3 linked regions of the Schizosaccharomyces pombe genome follow. Changing the gene in region 3 together with the main gene of any one other region gives a genetic interaction. Each region holds a gene or a part of one and is shown on either strand. Other genes may lie near its edges.

What was found. A genetic interaction does not mean that the proteins touch.
Region 1: mutations in myp2 (region 3) and rng9 impair growth when combined (synthetic growth defect), as found in Schizosaccharomyces pombe (2 studies listed by BioGRID, with this or other methods).
Region 2: mutations in myp2 (region 3) and cdc11 are lethal when combined (synthetic lethality), as found in Schizosaccharomyces pombe (2 studies listed by BioGRID, with this or other methods).

Annotation. Positions count from the first base shown.
Region 1 is NC_003423.3:3,632,513-3,638,464, reverse strand, and holds rng9 (protein Rng9), read right to left. Parts: upstream 3,132-5,952; 5' UTR 3,021-3,131; coding exon 2,235-3,020; 3' UTR 2,110-2,234; downstream 1-2,109. Other genes in the region: protein mug45, read right to left, coding at 1-25; rpl402 (60S ribosomal protein uL4), read left to right, coding at 819-1,910; Rnase P/MRP subunit Pop7, read left to right, coding at 3,940-4,052, 4,101-4,236, 4,306-4,365.
Region 2 is NC_003421.2:2,047,021-2,055,609, forward strand, and holds cdc11 (SIN component scaffold protein cdc11), read right to left. Parts: upstream 5,584-8,589; 5' UTR 5,533-5,583; coding exon 2,395-5,532; 3' UTR 2,110-2,394; downstream 1-2,109. Other genes in the region: cox13 (cytochrome c oxidase subunit VIa), read right to left, coding at 1-29, 80-104, 153-315; protein mug33, read left to right, coding at 916-1,926; serine/threonine protein phosphatase PP6 catalytic subunit Ppe1, read left to right, coding at 6,598-7,515. UniProt on the Schizosaccharomyces pombe protein: Essential for the onset of septum formation. Involved in the organization of astral microtubules during mitosis. Acts as a bridge between sid4 and the other SIN proteins mediating their association with the spindle pole body (SPB).
Region 3 is NC_003424.3:2,546,225-2,556,952, forward strand, and holds myp2 (Myo3-like myosin II heavy chain myp2), read right to left. Parts: upstream 7,480-10,728; 5' UTR 7,442-7,479; coding exon 1,127-7,441; 3' UTR 1,036-1,126; downstream 1-1,035. Other genes in the region: vacuolar serine protease Isp6, read left to right, coding at 1-529; SPOM_SPAC4A8.06C (esterase/lipase), read right to left, coding at 7,789-9,525; lcb4 (sphinganine kinase), read right to left, coding at 10,549-10,728. UniProt on the Schizosaccharomyces pombe protein: Stabilizes the F-actin cables forming the F-actin ring that surrounds the nucleus during interphase. May work in conjunction with myo2.

The DNA.
Region 1 (5,952 bases), on a different chromosome or scaffold from region 3:
GTTTAATATTGGCCAAGTTTTTCATAGTATTGGTTACAAGTAAATAGTGCTGAGGATAAAAACGGTCAGAGCATTTATATAACACGCTAACACGTAGGGTGTGTTACTCAACAATTCGTGACAAGTAAAATCAATCTAATCATCATTTATCCATTCTAATAAATTAAATTTATGTTTCTTCTGTTATGTTTATGGTATTTGCTTTTTTATAAGACTCAAAGGTACGTATATTTATAATAAACTAATTCTGTACAACTTAAACAATGTTTAACCGCCCACCTCCAGATTATAACATACAGGCTATCTAAAGCATCAAGGAAGGTTTGCTCGAAAATGCCAGTATAGTAGCTTTGACTGATAATTTATTATGACTCAGAGTATTTCTACAATGTTTTACCGTTATTCGCTAAAAAACTTGTTATCAAAACTTATAAACTAAATTAATTCGATTATTGAAGCCCTACGATTGCTGTGTTATAACACACATCAGTCAACCAAATGGCTGCTAATGAAACTAAACAGCGAATATCATGACTTCTAAACATTGTTCCTCTTTCCTATGTAAATTGTATCAGTTATCCTATCAAGCTCTTATTGATGAGACCTGATTGTATTATTTATCTTCGCAGTGAAAGCTTAGTGCACTCACAGATGTGTTTATAAGATAGTGAGTTAGACGGACATCTAGCAAATATTTTATAATACGCTATAATATGTTATACTTCGTTTCTTCATAAAAAGCAGTCACGTCTGGTTTTTGATGAAACTTCTGAATTAAACTGATTTTTTCCAACCACAAAAGCATACTAACAGCTTCAATGGCAGCAGCTCGTCCCACAGTTAGTATTTACAGCAAAGACGGCAGTGTCTCTTCTGAGACTATTGCTTTGCCTTTTGTTTTCAAAGCCCCTATCAGACCTGATTTGGTTCGCTCCGTTCATACCGCTGTTGCCAAGAACAAGCGTCAACCTTACGCTGTTTCTGAAAAGGCCGGTCATCAAACTTCCGCCGAGTCTTGGGGTACTGGTCGTGCCCTTGCTCGTATTCCTCGTGTTGGTGGTGGTGGTACCCATCGTTCCGGTCAAGCTGCTTTTGGTAATATGTGTCGTAGCGGTCGTATGTTCGCTCCAACCAAGACCTGGCGCAAGTGGCACGTTAAGGTCAATCAGAACGAAAAGCGTTATGCTATTTCTTCTGCCGTTGCTGCCTCTGGTGTCCCTTCTCTCCTTTTGGCTCGTGGTCACCGTATTGAGGAGATTCCTGAGGTCCCTTTGGTTGTCGACGATGCTGTCCAATCTTTCCAAAAGACCAAGGAGGCTGTTGCCCTTTTGAAGGAGATTAAGGCTTACCGCGATGTTGTCAAGGTTGCCAACTCTCGCAAGCTTCGTGCTGGAAAGGGTAAGCTTCGTAACCGCCGTCATGTTCAACGTCGCGGTCCTCTTGTTGTTTTCAACGAAGATGCTGGTATTGTTAAGGCTTTCCGTAACATTCCTGGTGTTGAAATTGTCAACGTTCGTCGTTTGAACTTACTTCAACTTGCTCCTGGTGGACATTTGGGTCGTTTTGTTATCTGGACCAAGTCTGCTTTCGGTCTCCTTGACAGTGTCTTTGGAAGCACTACTGAGGCTGCTCAACTCAAGAAAAACTATTTCCTCCCTGAGAACATCATCTCTAATGCCGATGTTACTCGTCTCATCAACTCTGATGAAATTCAAAGCATTGTCAAGGCCGCTGGTCCTTCTCGAGTCAAGCGTGCTCATGTCCAAAAGAAGAACCCTCTTAAGAACAAGGCTGTTTTGGCTCGTCTTAACCCTTATGCTAAGGCTTACAAGGCCAATGTCAAATTAAACACTGGAAAGACCCCCAAGGCAGCTGGTGAAAAATTCTTGACCGTCCTTCATGAAAACTAAGCATGTTGCCTACCTCTCTTTATTATTAGTTTGGAGATAGATAGCGGTAATATAAGTTTTGAAGATAGTGTTTTTTAAAATTGTTATATTTGTCGATTTGTAGTAGCAATTTATGTAACATAGTAGTAGCTCATTAGACTACTAGTATATGGGTAAGGTATGTTCCTTAATTTCTTTTTATTCTAGAATGTTTGATATTCTACAATCTACATGTAAATAGGAGATGAGTAATTTTTGAAACACCTTTTAAAATTGTTATTCCTTCTATTACTTGTTATTCGTTAAATGTCGTTCTGGATAAGGTCTGATGGAGTTGTAACATAATTAATCAAAAGCATCTTCAATCGAACAATAATCTGCAAAGAGCTTCTCTAATTCAGAGATCTTTTTCGAAGTTAATTTTTCAACGGATGTTGATACATCTTCTGAATCATGTCTTGTAAATGTTAGCAGAGAATCAAATATGTGGGTATAATTTTTAGTTGCATTGGTCAACGAGACGCGATGTGCTCTGCTGGTATCAATTAAAGAGCTGTGATTCTTTGCAATACGATCAGAATCATTTTGAAAATCATTGAGCAAAGAAGCACTTTGAAGAAGTTGTTCGGCAATCAAAGAACGACAGTCTTTGGTTTCAGAGATCATGTCCTGCAATATTTCAGGATTGTTTTGCGATCGTAAAACATTAACATTTGTTTGCAATTGCTGAGCTGACAACTTTGCTAACTCTAATTTTGAAGACGCCGAACGGTGCTGCTTTTCCATTTCTTTCACCTTTTTATGGTATGAAAGCAGCGATTCCTCTAGCTTCCTACTTTGTTCCCGCAGCTGTATTTTTTTATTGGCAGTTAAGTCACCCGACGCATTAAATGAATTTAAAAAGGTGTCTTCTTTTTCATTTTCTGCCTTCAGCTCCTTAGTCTTTGAACGCAAGTCGTTTATAGCATATACTAACTGCAAGTTGATTTGCTCCTCTTTATGCAGTTGAGACCTTTTTTTTTCTAGCTCTTTTAACTGATTTTCAGTTTCTTCCTTAAGATTTTGAAGTACCAAGCTGGTTTGTTTGTTCATGACAGGCAATACGGATATATGACTTTCCTCGTCGTTCATTACTCAAGTATTTTCAGTTTTTTTATATAGAGTTCTAAGAGCTGATGGTTTTCTACTAAAATTACAATAGAGGGGAAAAGGATTGAAATGTAAATTATAGCAGTTGTATGCAGAAGGGAAAACGATATTCTACCCTTCAAGATGCCATAGATGTTTCAGTGTATTTTCGTAACAGTTTTTAATAGTTGTCGAAGTGGATTTTTATTTGATTTTATTAATACTACTAGGCATATTCCAATGTGAAAGGTGAACTAAATCGTATAAAAGTTGGCAACTTTTAAGTAAGATAAGTGAAAATGAAATTTTTGCGAATTTAATTATTGATACATTTTCTTAAATTACAATTAAATTTAAAATTATTGAATCCTGCTATACGTGTAATCTTTACTATTATTCTTGGTTTAAATCAAAATTGTTTTTAACCTTCTTACAGAGTAAACAATATTCATAATTATAAACCCAAATGCGTTAACATTCTGACGCTGATAAAGAAAACTGAATAGAATATAATTTTTAATTTAGCTTTTATCATGAAAATCACTGTAACAAATTTATTAAATTTAAAGCCAAATTTACCTAATTACCGATTTATTACTTTTAAAATTTATTTCTTTTTTAAAAAGAAATAAATTAAAAAAAAAAAAAAAAAAAGAAAAAGGAAGAAGAAATGTACTTCTGAGAAGACCAATTAATTGCATTTTACTTTTTTATTACATTTTATTTTTCAGATTTATCAATAAATTTCCTAACTTTACTATAAATTCAGTTAGGGTACTTAAGCCAAAGAAAATTTGATTGCGATATATCACTTAACTACGAGAAAGCTAGTTGAAAAAAAGCTACACTACGGATACGTCTTCACCTCAAGAAGCTATATTGTATTAATGTTTAATTAAATATTCGTTCTCCTTATGTTGAAATGTCGGTAGAAAGAATTAAACGTGCGCCTGCTTTTCGCAAAGGTATAATTATTCGAAGAAAAACACACCTGATTGCTATGATTCGACGCATGAGAAAGAAGCTTGATATTGAGTACGTAAAATGAACTTCTTGCGAGTCATATGCTAACAACAGGCTTAGTGGATCTATATTATACCAAGCTACCGGCATGGCAATACCTCATTTGGTTGAGTTAAGCGATAAGTATAAACGCCAAGGATATAATATCTCTATGGATACAGCTACAGTCGAATTTATGGATGAGATTGTTGATGAAGTATGCGGATTTTAACATTGCGAGCAAAAAAGAATTTACATGAATGTATTGTTACTAACATAGCTGTAGGTATCTATTCAGAACAAAAACCGTTTGGGAAACGTATTACTTCTCCGAGTATCTCGTTAGAATAACTGTGTTCCTAAGGCTTTACATACTCTATTACTGATGGCTATTTCACTGTACAACTTTTGTATTTTCAAATTTTTTTGATAATTGTTTGACTGTCCTTGTTTATTTGCAACAATACCTGTACTAAAAAATAACACGATGTGTATATACTCTACAACAAGGTTTCAATTACTTATCCTATAATCAGTAAGGAGAACAGTCACAAAGGTTCGTGTTACATTTGCAATTGGTATAAATCTAATTTGTGGTTAAACCAAACCGAAGTTATGACGAGCGACAGAAATAACACTTATAGTATTTCAAATATCATTTGCTCCCTTGTGAGAAAGTTCTCAATAGAAAAGTTGTTTAGCATCCACTAGATCAAAGTCATTTCAACGGAGGACGTTGATAGTTATTCTAGTTTTTTGATGAATGCAAATGTAGATGTTAATTTACAAACTCAGAAAAAAATTTGAATGTTACGTAGCTAGGTATTAAAGCTGGATAGCGTCAAATTTTTTGCAAAAAAAACAAAACAAAAATTAGAGGACTGAACAGACAGCAACGGCAATAAATTATGCAACATAAAAATAATGAATTTAGCAAATTTTATGAATCAAACAAATGGTAGCAGCTAATTTGACACAGTAGAGAAAAGTGTGTACGAGCTTTCAACGTGAAAACGCATCATTTCGTTACAAATTTTTTTGCGACAAAGGTCGAGACAATTGATTCAGTGGATGGGGAGGTCAACGAACGAAATGCGAATCGCCGTAGATCTATCACATAAAGAAATATTCTCATAAATCCCAAACACAGAACAGGTATACCTTTAGTTTGCCAGGGTAATCTGACTAAGTAGTGAAAGGTTGCATCATTTCATCACCAAGGTTCAAATGAGTAAGTGAAAATTTCAAACGTAGAAGAATGCACAATAGGCAAGAGAAAATTTGAAAGTGGAGAAATCCAGCAAAGGCCTGGATTAATGTTAGTCCCGTCGACAAATATTGTTCAAAAAGAATGAGTAAATATATCACAGCTCTTTTCAGACGCCATACCTCGCCAACATGATATAGAATCCTAGCATTAAATGTTATATTAGTTATTTTTAGAAGATTCCAGGAGAATCAACATGTCTGATGGATTATGGTTGTCATTTTTTGCAGGAAAACTGTCCTTTGATTGATGGCCTTTTCGGGTCTAAACATCGGGTGCAAATTGCTAAAATAACCGAGGTATTATAACCTAAGGTCTAAAAAATCTTTGCTGATGATTTCCACATAGGTAACGAACACGTAGAAAATGATTTCTCTTGCCCATCAAACTCACCACATGTAAAGTTCAACGCTATCATGGAAGCCATTCATTCCATCATTCAAATACCTACGGAATCAGAATTTAGAAGGATTTTATGAGTGCATGTCTTAAAAAGTCCATTTATTAAGCAGTCCGCAAAATAACCTGAAAAATCGTTCAACCTGTCTCCAATGCAAATTCCATCATATGAACTGGCGCAAATCATACTAATAGGTGGACATAAGGTAACAACCCCGGAATTGGAAAGGTCGAACAACACGATAAGGATCATCATAAGCGATTCAG
Region 2 (8,589 bases), on a different chromosome or scaffold from region 3:
TAGCCAATATCAATGCTGGTCCACCAATGCTGGCAAATGTTAGCTACCACACAAATTCTTCACTTCCTCATGTTCATACTAATAAGTCACTTTCTTCCAGAATTCTATAAACCCGTTAGTAAGATAAATTTCTATTCCCACAATTCACATACCACTGCTACGCTTTGCATGCTCCTCTTCTGCTTGAACCTCTTCAAGCCAGTTCACCTTTGCTTCGTTACTATAAGCTCGAAAGCTGAGCAAACCCGCTCTCTTAGGAACGCTCGTCTTCAATGTTCTGGATAGGAAGCCAATGTTACGATTCATCATGCTCATTACACTAACAAATTCGCTTTTTTACGATGTTTTCAAGGAGATGGGAGTTGTTGCTTGTGAACATTCTGCTCCTCCCGTACCTTCGTAATTCTACCCATATACTGTAGTAACGCACCGTGTGCATTCTTCTACCTCGGTACAAATTTACCTTAGCAATGTTTAGCGTTCAGTTGCGTAGCGTACCGTACTACTGAAGTGTGGCGCAAAGGGGGAATGAAGTCAAACAACGTTTAACTCAACCACAACCAACAACAAAAACCTCATCATATCTCACCACCAAAAATCGCCTTTCCGCCAAATACATAAAAGCGACTTCAAGGACAAATTATTTCTTTTTTCCATATTAGGAATTGGTAATTTAAACACTTTTAGTCGAATTGAGAGCCTTTTCGTTCATTGCTACGTACCAAATTGCCCTTTCTCAACTTCTGCCTTCCCCTCGGATTTCATCTCTTTTTTGATCGTTTCTCGCTGTAGAGGAACAAAAAGGAAATCTTTAAATCCTAACCGTGCAAAGTTGAACTTTGTTGGTAGCTAGCAAAAGCTCAAAAACTACTCTCTCAAATCACCCTCCAAAGCTTTTCCGCTTTTTTTTAAAAAATGCGGATTCGTAGTGCTACTCCTTCCCTTATCTTACTGGTTATCGCCATTGTCTTTTTCGTCTTAGCTATATGTACTCCTCCTCTTGCAAACAATCTTACTTTAGGAAAGTATGGAGACGTTAGATTTGGCGTTTTCGGTTACTGCTTAAATTCAAATTGCAGCAAGCCTTTAGTTGGTTACAACTCGGATTACCTTGATGAACATGCAAAGGACGGATTTCGTACCTCCGTTATTGTGCGTCAAAGAGCTTCCTACGGCTTGGTGATTGTTCCCGTGTCTGCCTGCATCTGTCTCATATCCACCATTATGACTATATTCGCCCACATTGGTGCCATTGCCCGCTCTCCCGGCTTCTTCAATGTCATTGGAACCATAACATTCTTTAACATTTTTATCACCGCCATTGCTTTCGTTATCTGTGTCATCACTTTTGTCCCCCATATTCAATGGCCGTCATGGCTTGTGCTCGCCAATGTCGGCATTCAACTCATCGTCTTGCTTTTACTCCTTGTTGCACGCAGACAAGCCACAAGGTTACAGGCCAAGCATCTTCGTCGCGCCACCTCTGGCAGCTTGGGTTACAATCCGTACTCTTTGCAAAACAGCAGCAATATCTTTTCTACTTCTTCTCGCAAGGGAGACCTTCCCAAATTCAGCGATTATTCTGCCGAAAAGCCTATGTACGATACCATTTCCGAGGATGATGGTCTCAAGCGTGGAGGCTCTGTCTCAAAATTGAAGCCTACTTTTAGCAACGATAGTCGTTCTCTGTCTTCCTATGCCCCAACTGTTCGTGAGCCCGTTCCCGTTCCGAAATCTAACTCGGGCTTCCGCTTTCCGTTTATGCGCAATAAGCCTGCAGAACAGGCTCCTGAAAATCCGTTTAGAGATCCTGAAAATCCCTTTAAAGATCCCGCTTCAGCTCCAGCTCCAAATCCATGGTCGATTAATGATGTTCAAGCCAATAACGACAAGAAGCCCAGCAGATTTTCATGGGGCCGCTCGTAAATTATCGACCAATCGAGTTTTATCTATCATTTATCATCTCTACATGTTTTCTAATTTCACTTTCAAAGCATTTTTTAACCGTCCCCCCTTTACCTTTTTCCTTTATTTAGTTGATACTTATATGGTACATATGTGTGTGTTTAATGTCACTGTTTCTCAATAGAATTTATCTGTTTTAAGCTAGTTGAATGTAAGAAGAGTTGGAGGGGTTTTCTTTTATTTTTTATTCTTTCAATAGGGTTCTTTTTCTTTTTTTTTAATATATATATATTTTTAGACGACCTTCACGTTTCATTATGCTTATTCATTTTGTATGTGCCATCCAGAAATCGAATTATTATTTACACTATGGTAATGGCGAGTATTATGGTGTATTATGTATTGTGATTATTAACCTTTACACAACAGCGAAACAATCTTGCTATTTGAAAGGTAAAAATGTTTCAAGCTATATCTTCACAAGTCATACTAGTTGGATGATTTGGTGAATGCAGCGCGAGATGATTGTGAAACATCAGATCCATCCAACCATTCTAAGTGTGGACATGCCAATAAAATAGCTTCAGCATACATTTTTCTTCTTGTTCTCCATGCCTCAGACAAAGTGGAACTAAAGGCCAGCTCTTTCTCCTGCCATTGCTTTTGCGGGTCTTCTTTTCTATGATGACCTTTTTGGTTGATACTTTGTTGGTATTTTGAGGCTGCAGAGAGCTCATAAATAGAGTCGTCAATTACGGGATAAATGTTGAAATTAAGAGGATTCATGCGCAGATCCAGTACGTTTAACTGTTTCAGGTTTGCCAATATATCACATAAATTTCGCATCTTTTTGATTCTATTTCCCACTAAGTAAAGTCGGTGGATCATTTGCAATGGTTTCAGCGACTCTATGTCTGATATATAGTTATGTGATAAGTCCAATACACGTAAATTGGGCATACTGGTCGCAATGTATTTAGGTACTTCTTTGAGCTGAACGTTTGCAAGCTCCAGATACCTCACTCCCAGAAACATGTGCTTACAATCAAGAGTAACGAAGGTGTTATTCGATAGGTATAGATTTCGAATATCTAAAGAGGGTTGAATGACAAAATTGGAGGCTTCAGGATCTTGAGTCCTGAACGAAAAATTGACTAAGCGTTTTAGTCGACGGATGTCAGGGGGACGATTAAATCGATTAAGGTCCATGTATAAAGTTCGTAAATGAGGAAATTGATCTACCTCAAGTTGATGTATGGCGTTGTTGCTGATGCGTAAAATTCGCAAATGAATCATTGGTTGGCTAGCTTTCAAGTTGGTTAGTTTGTTATTGTCCAATTGTAAAACCATAAGGTTTTGAAGCGAACTTATTTCTTCGATTTCTTCTATTTCGTTATTTCCCAAGAGCAATTCCTCAAGACGATGAAGATTGGAATTCGTAAATGACAATTCTTTAATCCTGTTATTGCAAGCGCTTAATTTTAGCAATCCATCCAAATGTTGAATCCCATCTAAACTCCATAGATGATTACTGTCAACTTTCAACTCACGAAGGTGAATTAGAGAAGAAAGACCAGTAAGGTCCTCTAGTTGATTATATGATATGTCCAGATATTGTAGGTTTAATAGGTTGGAAAATGAAGTCAAACTTGACAATCGATTTTCAACAGCATTCAGGTCTCTTATCGTAACGGGGCATCCTGTTAAGTAAGCAATTTCATTTCCTTCCAACGTGAGCTCTTCAATAGAGGGACAGAGTTCAGAAAGTCCAATCAAGGAATCCAAATGTCGTCTACTGATGTCTAATTGTATAATCCTTTTCCAGAAAGGCTCATATGGTTCAACATCAGAAAGAATTTGAATTATGGATTGACGAGATACTGAAAAACTATATTCAGCATCTTTGTCGGCTTTACTTTTCAATCCAGAACCTGAAGAAATAAAAGGAATTGGTGACCCATTTTCATACCTGCCATTAAACATTTCATCAAAGCTCTCATTTTGTAAGGATAAATCGTGAAAGGAAGATAAAATTTGCGGAGCGTTTTCGCTATTGTCTCTTAATGAATGCTTAGGAAATTCGGATTGAGCAACATTTTGCTTACGCAAAGGAAAGGAATGAGGTTGTTGCTTCTCCAAATTGTTTGGATCATTGTTCGCTTGATGTCTGGTGGATGCCGCTTTAAACAGTATTGTACGCTCAGGATGCGAAAGACTAGCATCTTCGTCGGTTTCAAAATCAAAGCCCAAGTCTGAATCATGACCTTTTCTCCGCCACCGATTGTGTATCCTGTCAAATTCCATGGAGCCTTGAGTTGTATCTATGCCTTCAGGAAGATCTGCTGGCGTTATAACCACCATATTGGGATAATCAGACACTTTTCTTGAGCTTTGAGCAGAGTGACTTCTTCTGGTTTTAACACTGGAAGTTTTTAGCGTTGATTTGGGAGAGCTATTTAATCGGGCAGTCTTGGAAGAGGATTGTGAAGAGCCAACATCAATTTCCCGAAGTGGCATTTTATCGGTCATATATGCCTGGCGTTGAGGGGAGGAAGATGCGGATGGAAAGGAATCATCATTATCATTGAAAATTGAGGTAACCCTTTTCATACTTTGAAGACTTTTTAAATGAAGTTGATCACTTAAGGAGGGAAATGCATTAGAGCTATCTTCTTGACTTACTTCAACTGAAATTTCATCTTGTTCCTCCTCCTCACGAAGTCCGCTGAGCTTTCGAGGAAGAAAAATTGTAGATTCTCGTCCCGAATTAGGCATTCTTCCTCGCAATCTTGCCATGACTTCTTCAACCTCTTGATAGAGATCTTTGGTATTGAGGCTAGCCTTTCGTTCAGTTGTACGCATAGGTTTTTGTGGTCTTCGTGGTTCAGGGAGTGAAAATTGTTTTTCCCCATTTTCAAATGAATTGGACTTTACATCTTGAGTTAATTGATTCAAATGCTCACGAGTAAACGGATCACTAGCTCCTTGGAAAAGTTTAAGGGGGGATGTATTATTGGGCTTCAAGGAGGGAGAAGAAACAACGGATGAGGATGACGATGCATTGCTAGCATGGTCCGTATTTTGCTTTTCGTGAACCGAGTTAGACCTGGTATTAGATTGTTGACTTTTCAAGCTTCCTTCTGAGTATTTTTTGCTAAACTGAGAAGAGGAGATAGATTCTTTTTCGTAATCCTGTGAAACGAAAGGATCTTTAGAAGGAGAAGATTGCATGTTCGATACATTAGATAGTTTACCAACTGAAGAAGAACTACGCCTAGAAGAGTTATTACTGGACTTTTTGGACGGATTTTTTGTTGGAGACTTTGAAGGGGGGCTTTGTTTGCTGCTTTCTTCAAACATATTTTCCAAATCCAACCTTGCAAAAATATCACGAGCAACAGGGTTCTTTGCATTCACCTGTTTCCATTGAGGAACATCCGGAGCATCATTTCTTCCTTTCTTAAACGTTCCATGCTCTGTCGAAGTTCCTGAACTACCACGACCTGTAGATTGAGTATTGTTTACATTTGATGTGGTTGGTGGTTCACTAGAATTGTCTGACCCTTGTTCTTGTGGCTGCGGAATCCATTCTTCACTTAAATCATGTTCAAGCCATAACTGTTCCATGATTTCTGAAAAGCACACATACCTTCCATAGAAAAAAGAAGTTTTGTTTACGTCTATGAGACGCGACGGGATGTCGTGGTACTGGGACTCAATCACCCTTTTGCACAATTTGACATAGGATATTCAAGCGTATTCGTAATGCTGCTTATCATATTTTACGATATTTTCCACAATAAGGGTATAGCGTTATTTTGTTTGTTACGTTGAATTCCAGTAAATTTATTTATTCAGAAGGAAAATTATGGCCATAAGTATTTGAGGAAAAAATCAAAGCTATAAGTAGTTCTAAGAGTTGATAAACTTGTGCATGAGAGATTCACTTTATTCTGTTAACTCGGAAGACTCGATAAAAAACAATTAATAGCAATTGCTTCGGTAACCTTCTCTGTACGATTTTTCTTTTGCCTACGGTTTCGCATACTTGACGACGGAGATGCCATTTATATCAACAAGATATCATATATTCTTCATGACTTTGAAAGCTCTTTAGTAAGCAAGTTTTTCACAAGTTGGATCTACGCTTGCAACAATCTTCGAACTGATCCTAAATTCGCTTACTATATTTAAAGGTTATGGAAACGACACTTTTATTGTCGTTCTACAGACAACGTTTCTCGTTATGCTACTCTCTCATCTTCGCCTCATGACCTAGACTTTCAATCGTTTAAAACTCTACAAGTATTTATAATTTAAAGCAATCCCACCTCGGTAATTTAAGAAAATTTGCAACAAAATTTGACGTTAGCAATAAGGATAAAATGTGTTCGACGACATCCCAATTTAATCAGCGGACTATATAAATTTGTATATAAAAGGTCATTTCCACATGTAGACTTTTTCATACGACTTTTGAATGTACCAAACATCCATATCTGATAAAGACTTGGTACGCCGTTAATCGTTACAATACGTTAAACACCCCTCTTAAGTATTCAACGTACTAACTTACGTACTCTCCGCAAACAACATATTTAATTAGGAAGCCAATTTCTAAATAGGAAAGTATTGAGAAATAACTGTGTTTAATAATCTAGAAGAGATCCTTGAATAATTTGTGCTACAACGATGTTTGACTTGGATGAATGGATCGCTACAGTAAGGAAGTGTAAATATCTTCCAGAACACCAGTTGAAACGATTGTGTGAGATGGTAAAAGTTATTTTAATGGAGGAGTCCAATATCCAGCCTGTGCGGACTCCCGTTACTGTTTGTGGTGATATACATGGTCAGTTTTACGACCTTTTGGAACTGTTTCGAGTAGGTGGAGAATTGCCAAGCACAAATTATATATTTATGGGTGATTTTGTGGATCGAGGTTATTTTAGCTTAGAAACTTTTACGTTATTTATGCTTTTGAAAGCAAGGTACCCAGATAAAATTACATTGCTTCGTGGTAATCACGAAAGTCGCCAGATCACTCAAGTCTACGGGTTTTATGATGAGTGTCAAACCAAATATGGAAATGCAAATGTTTGGAAATATTGTTGCCAAGTTTTTGATTTTTTGACTTTGGCAGCGGTTATCGATAACAAAATTTTATGCGTGCATGGTGGATTATCTCCGGAAGTTCGCACATTGGATCAGATTCGTATTCTTGCGCGTGCTCAAGAAATTCCCCATGAAGGCTCATTTTGCGATTTGATGTGGTCTGATCCAGAGGATATTGAATCTTGGACTGTTTCGCCTCGGGGAGCTGGATGGTTGTTTGGTTCTAAAGTTACTACCGAATTTAGTCAAATCAACGACTTGACATTGATTGCTCGTGCTCATCAACTTGTTCAAGAGGGCTACAAATATCATTTTGCCGATAAAAATCTTGTTACCGTTTGGAGTGCTCCCAATTACTGCTATAGATGTGGAAATGTGGCAAGTGTTATGAAAGTAGATGAATCTTTGGAACCGGAATTTCGTATTTTCTCGGCTGTTGCCGACGAAGATCGTACCGTTCCCCCTAGCAGAAAAAGAAGCGAGTATTTCATCTAACTTTGGTATGTGCAAGTCAAATATCTTGTTTTTTATGGCACACATATACCCCCTCAAACATGTAATAGTTTTTGTTTTTTAAAACGTAGCTTTTTTTACTTCCTTGTCCGACACTTTCTTTCTCTCTTCCAGTTCTCAACTTCCATATTTTTATTTCCGTTTGCTTTGCGCGTGAGGTATATTCTATTTTTCCTTGGCAGCTTGTTACGCAAAACGATATTATAAGTTACATGGGTTTGTTTTTTAATCTTTTTTTCCTAGCTATTTTCAGTCGCTATAGTTTAGATTGTTTCCCTTCAAAAAAGCGACTTGGTGTTTGCAATTTTATTTCACCTCACATTGTGATGATATTCCCTTAACCTTTTTTTCGCAATAGCATTGACTTGCGTTACCACACTGTTCCAGCAACATAAAGTTACTTAGTGCCCAAAAATTCTTAATGATCCCTTCTCCATAATTTTTGTTTCCATTACTACGCGTCCATAAAGCCAATAATCGCATGTTGCAGTGCTTGCCTTGTCACTCTTTTGTCAAGAACGTTATACATAATTCCTCTCGGGTTTGCGTCGAGCTTGCTTTAATTGGGGTTTCTTGGCATCTAGTACGATGATATGTATATCATGATTTTTCTCAGTTTTGTCAGTTAAGATTAAGCAAGCAAGGGTGATTTTTGATAATCAATTTCTTATATATAAGTTTAGTATGCATTATTATATCTGTACAGTTCTTTGGACAAATTTTCTTGATAATATCTCTGCCGATATATCGTTTCTGTTTCATGCTTCGCTTCTCTTACTTTCTACTTACCTTTGTAAAATAATGTTTTGCAAATTGTCGCTTGCTTTGCTAAGGAAAGTCAGTCAGTAACATAATTTGCAGTTTTAATAAGCACCTGTTCGATCATTGCACAATTTTTTGTTCGTTTGACCGGATTTCGTAGTATTTGTATTTTTTTTAAATCATTCTTATTTACGAAAAGAAGAAGGAGTGGTTTGTTTGTTTTTGAAGTTGATAAATTTGTCTACGAGAAGAAGAGGAGGGATATTCAGCGTGCGAAAATTGATGCCTGAAAGA
Region 3 (10,728 bases):
TGCCGGTGTTGAGTGGACTGTTCGTCATCACAAATCGTCCGGCAAGAAAACCTCTGTTGGCAACATGTCTCTTGGTGGCGGCAACAGCTTTGTTTTGGATATGGCTGTTGATTCTGCCGTTACCAACGGTGTTATTTATGCCGTTGCTGCTGGAAATGAGTATGATGACGCTTGCTATTCATCTCCTGCTGCTTCTAAGAAAGCCATCACCGTTGGCGCTTCCACTATAAACGACCAAATGGCCTACTTCTCTAACTATGGTAGCTGTGTTGACATCTTCGCTCCTGGACTTAACATTTTGTCTACATGGATCGGTTCAAATACTAGTACTAACACCATCTCTGGTACTTCTATGGCAACCCCTCATGTTGCAGGTTTGTCCGCTTACTACCTTGGCCTACACCCTGCTGCCAGCGCTAGCGAAGTTAAAGATGCTATCATTAAGATGGGTATTCACGATGTACTCTTGTCTATTCCTGTTGGTAGCAGCACTATTAACCTTCTCGCTTTCAATGGTGCTCAAGAATAGATTTTACTTCATGTTGGATGCATTCGATGTTTTCAATAAGTCGGTGTTTGATTTTCAATACATCGAGTAATTGTTTTATTTTTTTGAAAACGTTTGCTCCTTTTATGATTGTTCTTTACAAACAGTTTATAATGATTGTTATGACAATAAATATTTTATAATGCAAGCCACTGAATCACGTTTAGAATTTTTATACTTGAATGAAATTTTTTTGTGATGTTCTTCCAACTTACAATGTTAAAGTGTAATTGTAAATGTCCTCTTCTTTTATTTGTATTTGTATTTATATTTGTGCCGCTGTTATGCAAGAGCTCTTCTACATTTAATATCGCCGCCTATCTCTTCATAGTTTTCTTTTACAATGTGATTGCTGCATATAACCATTGTACAAATAATAGGGGTAAAATAAAAAGTAAACCGAACTAAAATGCCTTTTACTTGACCGACTTACTTTTTTTTTTGAACTAAAGTATCCTTGTGGTTACTTGTTACGTTGACGCAGAGCATAATAATAGTAATAATAAAATAATTTTAAATTCATGAACTAATAATTTACATCATCTTAAAAAATACATGTCGAGTCTTTGGGAAGCTTGGCTACCTTAGAACGCTAGGCGAACGATTGGACCTCATGGATAATCTACTTTCACTTCTCTTTACTCTTTGACCCTCCAGCAAAGATCTATATTTATCAAAATCGGTTTCCAAACTTTTGACGCGTTCACGCTCTTCTTGAAGAGCATGTTCCGTCCGACGTAGTGCAAATTTCCATTGTGTTTCTGAAGCTTGCACATCTTCTAATTGATTTCTCAGTTGCGCATTTCTTTCCTCCAAACGAGAAACTGAGCTCTGTATTCTCTTTTTATCATCATCAAATTTTGATATTTGAGCTTCCAGTTGACGGATAGTCCTATCGCGATTGCGACATTCATCAATTCCTTTAATTCGTTCGATGTCGGAAGCAGCAAACGATGCTTCCAAATCTGATATTTGCTTTTGTAGCATTCGGACGTCCTTTGATGTTGATATGGGATAAGTTTTAAGATCTAAATCAAACAATTTGAGCTCCAAATCCTTTTTCTCCTTTTGTAAAACTCCGAGTTGACGATGCAGTTGAAGATTTTCTTCTCGATGATTATTACTATCTTTTTGAGTTTTTAGCGCAAACATTTCGATCTGTTTTATGCGTTCAACTAATGATGATAGTAAGTCATCTTTTTGAGCAAGGTTACTCTTGAGTGTTAATACCTCTTTCTCCATTTCAATTTCATCAAAAGGTCTTGCAGAACTATCGAATTTTTTGTTCAATTGCTCTGAAACTTCGTGAAGTTTTCGCTCAAGGTTTCGATTTTCTCTTAAAAGGGTATCTTGATCTTTTCTTAATGTCTGGTTTGCTTCTCGTACTTCTTGGAGTTGTGCAGTCAAAGAAAGAAGTTGGCTTTGGGCATTTTGTTGCGCTGTTGAGGAAGAATTATTGACACGAGAAAGAGATTGTAAGTCTGCTTGAAGTATTGAATTTTCTTTTAACAAATTTGTCTTTTCCAAAACTAATTCGTCAAATTTGGTACGGATATCACCAATTTCCGCATGCATGTGCCGATTATCTTGTCTAATGCGCAAGTTCTTCTCACGTTCTTCTTCCAACTGTACTTTGAAACCATTTAGCTCCTTTTGATAACGTTGAAAGAGTAGTTGATCCTTCTTTTCTCGTTCCTCGAGATCTTGAACACGAATGACATGAAACTCATCAATTTGTTTCATCAGTTTTTCTTTTTGCAGCAGCAAAGTATTATAATCGTTGCTCTTTTCAACGTAAAGAACTTCATACTCCTTTTGTTTCACGACAGCATCTGCCAGTTCGTTTTGCAGATCAGCATTTGTTGTTTGAAATCCGCGAGCGAGTTCTTCAACTTCCTGTAAACGCCCGGTAAGATAATTTTTAGACCTTTCAGCTTTAGAAAGTGAAGATTCTGCATGCTCATTGAGTGACTGGACCATCGCAAGCTGTTCGCGGTACTTGTTAACTGTAGAAGTAAGCTCCTTTATCTTCATTATATTAACTTCTTCTTGCAACCACTCGGTTTCTTCTTCTCCAGAATAATTAGTTATACTACCATCAAAATTGGGAATTATTAATTGAGAAGCAGTGGGAGCCTTTAAAGGAGATGTAGGAACAGAAGGTCCTTGCAACCCATGAAGCAAACGATCTCTTTCCTTGGTTATCTCTCTTAAAGCTTTTTCCGTTGAAAACAGCTTTTCTTCGCTTGCCGAATATAACTTTGCAATAGCTCGCTTCGATGATATTGCCTTTTCCACAAAACCTTTGATTTGGTTTCTAGTATTATTTGGAACATCTTCAAGTAATGGAGCAAAATCAAGCATTTTATCATCACTGCCTAAATTACTAGTAGTTAAGTTTTTAAGTTCCTCATTTTCTTTTAACAAAGATTGTATAAGTTCCGAAAATTTTGATAGATCTTTGTTATCTAAGATTCCAGACTTTGTAGCTTCCTTTAACTTCAAATTGATTTTTTCAAACTCTGTTTGAAGCACGGAATTCCGTTGATTAACGATAAAGGGATCAGGAATACTACTATTTTGATCAAAATTTCTAATCAGTGCTTCCATTTTGCCAGATCTCTTTGAAGGTGAGCCGGGTTGAGAAGAGGGTAAATTGCTGATTTTGCTTGGAGACAAAGGTTTCAGCCCAGTAAATTCCATATTAGATTCAGGATTATAAAGCTTTTTCTGCAATGATGATATTAAACCACTTTGAGCATCAGAATTAGGATTGCTTAATAGCTTCCGAGAATTCATGATAGCTTGAGTATCTTTAAAAATGTCCGGGGAAGGTCTGTCAGAATTTGATGCATTGAGACGTTCCTTTAATTCTGATAAAGTACTCAACCCTTTTTCAAGCTTCCTAATAGAGTTTGGTATGTGTCCCGAAATGTCAGTAAAAGATAAATCCTTAGAGAGGGAATACAGATTGCTAAGTTCTTCTTCAACGGTTAGTTGCAAAGCATCAAGGCTTTTACTAATTGTTTTCAATAATTTATTGTCAATTTTTCGATCATCGTTATTACCATCAATGCGTTTTAGAGGATCACCTGAATGTTTCTCTTCAAATGATGGATGTGGAGAATTTCCATCTAAAGTGTGTTGTGTAACTGACCGATTTTCTGTTTTTTGTTTTAATAGCCCAACTTTACACCTTTCCTTCTGAAGCTGATTCAGTAAATCTGAAATTTTATGTTCATAACGGCTTTTTATACCTTGGAAGTCTATGAAATCACTAGCATTCTTCTCCAAAACACCATTTGTATCTTTCAAATCCAGATTATCAGCATTTAAAGAGATAATTTCAGTTTCCTGATCCTGAATTTGGTATTTTAAGGCCTCAATTATATCACATAGTTCAGAATTTTTTCTACGAAGCTTTTCTTCAGTCGCTATACTTTGCTCAAGCATCTCACTTATCTCTTTAATCCGTTCAGATAACTGGTTTGCTTCTTTCGTATGTAATGATTTAAGCTCTTGAACATCCTTCAAAATTGAAAGCGTGGTCGAAGAAGTAGAATAAATATTCTCATCACTGTTTAAGGGGCCACTTTTTACATCATTAATGTTATGAGTTTTCTCAGGATTTTGAAAAGCTTTATGAAGTTGATCTCTGTATTCCGTGATTTCCTTCTGAAAGATAACTAACTCGGCTTCCTTCTTATTCAATTCACTTTCTGTTTCTGAGTATTTGGAAACAAGACTTGCTAATTGAGATTCGTAAGTACGACATTGGTCTTTTAAGCTTGCGTTTTCTTCCCTTAATTCTTGAACCTTTGTATCATAACTTCGTTGCTTTAATAGTAACTCATCATCAAGTCTCATGAGTTTCTCATTCAATTCGCGAATATTTAAATTCTTTTCGTTAATAGCCTTTTCAAGATTTGATAAATGCTGCGAACTATGTTGATAATCCGCCATGATATTCAGATAGTCTTTCTCAAGCTCTTTATATTTAGAAGAAATCGTTTGCTCGTCCTTCTTAATTGAAGACAGCTTTTTCTCCAATGTAGATGATAAATCGGAAAGATAAGAAATTTCTGTCTGTTTGTTGGCAAGGTCCTCCTCTATGCTTTGCTTCTCTGCATACAAAAACTCATATTTTTCATCAGCAATAGTTACTTGATTTTCCAAACTTGACAGTCTCTCATGAACAACTTCAACCCGGCTATTGGCTCTTTCTACCAAAATGTCCTTTTCATGTGCCAGAGCTTGTTCCTCTTGCAAATCGTTAGTCAATTGTAAGACTCGTTCTTTGGTAATAGTTAATTCGTTTGCAACTTCCTTGGTACTTTCCAATTGATTCTGTAAATTATTTATGAGTGCGTCTTTTCTTCTTAAATACTCATCAGTCTGGGTTGTTCCCAATAACGGTTTAAGATGCAGAAAAAGATTCCACCAAGGATGTGGCTTCAATAACTTCAACTGCCTCAAGTTATGCTGTAGAAGGATAGCTGCATCTTGCCTATGATTAAACCGGTAAAGTCTCCGTCTTGTCAAAAACCCACGAATGCGAGCTGAAAATGAATTAAATATCACCCGCAGTAAAGCGTTTCTGCGATCCTCTAAAGAACCCAAGACACTGGCTTTAAAAAATACCTTTGTTTCACCCAAACGGTATACGGTACTAGGTAATTTTAATTCATTGATGATCGTTATTGTTGCCTTTTTTGCTTCGACATATCCTCTCTTTAATGACTGCGAAAGAATCCCATAACGAGCTCTAAATTCTGTATAAAATAGTTTGTTTGGAAATCCAGTTTGAGCAATTCTAATACCCTCCAGTACACCGTTGCATCGAAGTTGATGAAGAACGAGAGATTTATCCAAATTGTGAGGCTGCTTCAAATTGTTTGGAATAATGCATCTGACAAAGTGAGGCTGAGTTGCTTCGAGTTGGTGCATAAGACTAGAAAGCTGTCTCCTATGACGCTGCGACACAGTACGAAAGATTCCTTTCTTTTCAATGTTATCTCGACCACTAGCATTTGACGAATAATCATCAAAAAGAGAAGACACATGACTGTTAGTAGATTTGAACATTAGTGCGGCAAGACATGCATTTAGAGGATCTTTGTTTTTCTCCAGCCAATCTTTGGTATCATATTCGACATCACCAGCATAATGTTTTAAAACAAAGCCTTCACTAGAAAACTTTTTAGGACGGTATATATCGGATTTACCCTTAAAAAGAAGGTGAAGTTTTTCTGTGAATGTAGCATCAGTAGCCATTGGCATAACACAATCCTCGTCGAGGCAAGAAAAAATACCAATGGGCTCAGATTTTTCGATAGCATCTATGGTGGGCTGCAAATCATTTCCGTAGTCAATAAAATCCCATTCGATGCGTTCTTGTGTATATTCTTCTTGTTCCAGAACGAACATGTAATGATTAAAGAATTGCTGAAGCTTTTCATTTGTAAAATTAATACAGAGTTGCTCAAAACTATTAAAAGTGAAAATTTCAAACCCAGCAATATCTAAAACCCCAATGAACCCATCATGTTCAGACTGAGAATAATACATAGTCTGATTCAGACGTTTCACTAAATGCGCAAAATTACGCTCATAAAGGCCTTTGGCTAAGGATTGTAGTGTATGGACTACTTGTTCACGTGTTCTTGCCGTCACAATCCATTCTCGTCCAGCTTTGGACTTTGGGTGTAAAGCTGCATTAACAAATCCATCAACAGGGATTTCGAGTAAATGGCATAATTGATCAATTTGCGTTAAGGAAGGAAATCTAGCTTGCCCCGAACGATCAGATGCTACTTCAATATTTCCTATATGAAGAATTGAAGCTATAATTAAGAACAAACTGTGAATTTCGTTATTATCAAACCCCAAAGTTCTGAGACCAAAGCATAATTTTTGAAATTCTTTGCCATCATCGACTCCATTAATATGCTTGAGACCATTTTTTAAATATGAGTAATGGTCAACATATCGATCAAGGAAAAGACTTTCAAGCAATGATCCATCAGCACCTCGAAGTAGTTGATAAAAGACGTGATAATTGCGTTCATTGGAGGAAGGATGTATAACGCGAGATTTTTCCAAAAGGTACCAGTCTAAATTCGCTCCAACGATGCTTCCATTATTAGAAAATTCAATTCGTATGAACTTGCCAAAGCGGGATGAGTTGTTATTCCGGACAGTCTGAGCATTCCCAAAAGCCTCCAACACAGGATTCGTTTCAAGGATTTTCTTCTCCAACTGTTGAGAATCGCTTGTGGAAGCATCAGTGACCGATGTTAGGTACTGAATAACCTTTTTAGTAGTTTCAGTTTTTCCAGCTCCTGATTCACCAGTAACTAAAATAGATTGATTGATCCTCCTTTCTAATAAACTTCGATATGCGGCATCAGCTGTTCCAAAAATATGGGGTTTAGTTTCTTTAAACTGTTTAGATTGGTATTTTCGCACAACATCATCGCCATAAATTGGTAAATGACAATAGGGGTTTACAGCAACGAGAAACAAGCCTGAATAGGTATATATTAAATCTTTCTCATAACGCTGAGTAAGGTTGTTAACTACTGATGGTTCGTTGAGACATGTCAACGCAGCCATGTCATCAACCATATCAAACTTCGGTGGATTTACTTTTTCAGCATCAAATCCATCCACAATTCTTTCCGAGCCATCTCTTTCTAATTTCACCCTATATTTTTCTCCTAAATCTTCAACTATCCAAGCTTTCACGAATGATTCCTTCGAATCAGGAATCCAGATCCATGTCCGTTCATCAAAAGACGCGTCTTTCACGGCATTGCAATGTTTTTCAGCATCTACTAGCTTTTTGATAATATTATTGTTGTCGTTAGAGCCATTTTTTGAAAGATACGACATTAAATTAAGAAGTATAACACATTGGCAATGCTGCAGCTGTATAAATCATGACTGCGCAGCAATGTAAATATTTATGAATGTTACTATGGCAACGAAATACAAATGGATTGTTTACAATACTATGTAAGAGAATACTTATAAATGGTTAAACAATAAATTATACCTGTTAAAATGTAGTAAGCCAGTCGTCTTTTGCCAGGATATTAGGCACGTATGTGGATATCCCTTAGTAATCTTCTGATAAAATAAATAAGTTGAAGTAAAGTGAATAACTAAAGAACTCAACTTCAACGAAAAAGGAAATCGAGAAGAGATAAAATAAAAGAATGAAAACAAGTCTCAGGCAATTATTGTTTTTTTTCGGGGCTAATTTTACAGTTAGCTACCAAGGCAGAAAGTGGAGGATTTTCCCCTTCCATCGTATACTCTTTGGGCTTGACTAAATACCCATTTAAATCGGCGTGTTTAAATTCAGCGAAGTACCGTGCTGGCTTTTTAGTGTCTTTACTGAGCAAGATTAATTCAACGTCAATCCAGCGAATGAGTGCTTTCACCTGTATAGTACCTAAAGCACTTTTCGGTAAATTTAAACATTGAATTTCATCTTTAGGCTCCATCAATCGTTCCTCACCATTTCGCGAAATTCTTAAACGAACCATATCTTCATTAGCATGAGACGGATTACCATCAAGGTGTTTATTAGGCGATACAAAAGACGAATCATGCTGCTTTAAACACCAATAAGCAAAATTAGCAGCACGTCGGACCATAATCCCAGCTTCTTTTACAAAAGGAAGAGCTGTAACGACATGACAACAATCATCGTACATTTCCAAACGAACCTTTGTACGCTTACCATTGTATACGTCTGTATTCATTTTGTGAGCGATGTACACTATTTCGTCTCGTAAGCGTTCGCCCGATCCACCCAGAACAAGTGACGGCGGTAAACCACCAAGGTTTTCAGTGAAGATAGGACTGATCAGAGGATGCTTTAAATTTGCATTAGAGGTATAAAACTGTACTTGAAAAGGAAATGTAGTCAAAATGTTAGGGTCTAAACGAGAGTCCACATTGTCAAAATCAATACGTGCATGTTCTTTATCCATCTCTTGCAACACGGGGATCAAATTTTTGATGGTCTGAATTTTTTTACGTATGCTGTTTTCAATAAAGTTAGTCAATTCTTGTTTCTTGGAATAATTTAGTAATTCCTTTTCGGATATCGTTGAGAAAGAATCTAAGTTAGTAATGGGCCAATATCTGCTGGCTCGGTGATGAAATCCTTCGCTTGGAATATAGTCAGCAGCATCATCTGCAACTACAGAAGGAAGACTATGAGTCAAATCAACCCAAGGGGAATCATAAACTACTCCAGCAGGTAAGGGTAATTTTGAATCTCTAATCAAAACTAGTGATGCAACGATTAAACCAGCACCTGAGCTATCGCCCATAAATATTATATTTTCTGGCTTGGTGCTTTTAAGTAGATACAAATAAGATGAAAGTACATCATGCAAAGAGCAAGGAAAGGGAAATTGCGGTGCTAACCGCAGATCTGGAGCAAAGGTTCTAGCACCCAGAGCTGCAGTATGACGCTGAATATGATAAGCATTAGTACGAACAGTACTTAAATAATGAGCACCTCCATGAACATAAAAAATAACTTTATCACATTTGAGATTGTGCCTTATATGATGTCGCCTTTCAATCCACCAGGATTTTAAAGGTGACTTTCGATAAAGCCACCAGTTTGAGCCCCCAAATTGTTTAATGCCTTCTGGTCCCAAATAGTTTCGAATGTAAGAAGCAGAATCTGATTCTGACTTTGAATCTATAGGTTGTGATGTAAATTTAAACTTAAACTCATCCGTTAAGCTCCTTGAGCAAAAATCTTGAACAACTTCTACTTTATAATCCCTGCTATCAATTAAAAATTTTTTTAAAATCGACACTCCCAAATCAAGCATGAAAGTTCTATTCTTGCGTAACTCATGATGAGCCAGGAAACGGAATGCTTGACTAAACGTTTTAGATATTCCATCATTAATTGATTCGACAGTTAACTGCTCCTTTTTCAGCATTGTCTAAAAAATAACGGTTTTTTAGCAAAAAATCGCATAGATTTATTTTTTAACTCTATTAGAAGGATAATGATACAAAAGTATTAAAAAGAACAAAAAATGCTGCCAAAGAGAAGCATAACATTTAAAAGAGACGTTGTATTTATATTAATTCATAAATGCTGCAACTCTTGGCCTTACTACAGAGTAATGCTCTCGCGATTGTTAGTTTTATACTATGCAAAAAATGCTTCGGCCTTCAGTAAAACTCACTAAATTGTTTTTGACGAGCTTTACAACTAAGATGGGTATGTTTACATTATTTAGCTGTAAGTTAAATTTACTTATTTTTTTTGTTTCCAATAGTTTGACTGGTAAGTATTCATCATATTTTAATATCTATATATGCAGATTATCTATGCCCACCAGAACAAAACGCATTATACGAGGTATAAATTTGAAACACAATAAACTGGCGCTGGACACGAGTAACTTCTTCTAATGCACTTCATAATATTATGAGTATCATCATATGAATAGGAGTTTTTAAGCCTGTTTTATTATCCGTCGTATAAGCAATGTAATGAAGACATAAATGTTTAATAAACAAATTCTGATAACGTATAATTGACTACCTCTAATTCGACTATTGAACAATTAAAACCTGAAGTACAAAATGATTAGTGATAAATCCAGTGCATCGCAACACCACTAAACGTGCTAACGAACAGGAATAGAAGTGTACTTCTTCAGTCTACGATAACGTTTTGTAATTTCCTAATTTGCAAATTAGGATGGGCGAAAGTACAAAGAAAAAGAATACTTAATGCTCTTGCTTTTGTTCGGAATCTTTCTAAATGTCGTATATAAATTCGGAGGAAAAGAACTCTTAGTTCGCTGTTTATTAAATACAATTAAACGAAATTAAAACAAGTCTAAAATTATAGAGCCTAAGCGTGGCTTAATTACAGAAAACTAATTAATTAATGAAAACCCCAATAAGTTGGACAAATTGAAAAAAAAAAAAAAACCACTCGCTGTTGCTTATATATCCAACAATTGAAACCCTGCAACAGGAGATAAAGTAGTTCCTAATTTTGGAGCCACGCGACATTCAAATGGTTCCAATGGGTAACTTTCACCATCTAAAGCAAAATAATGACGCTTTCCCGTATTAACAGGAGTAAATCGAAAAGAACGAACTTTGTAATAGTTTAAATGCTT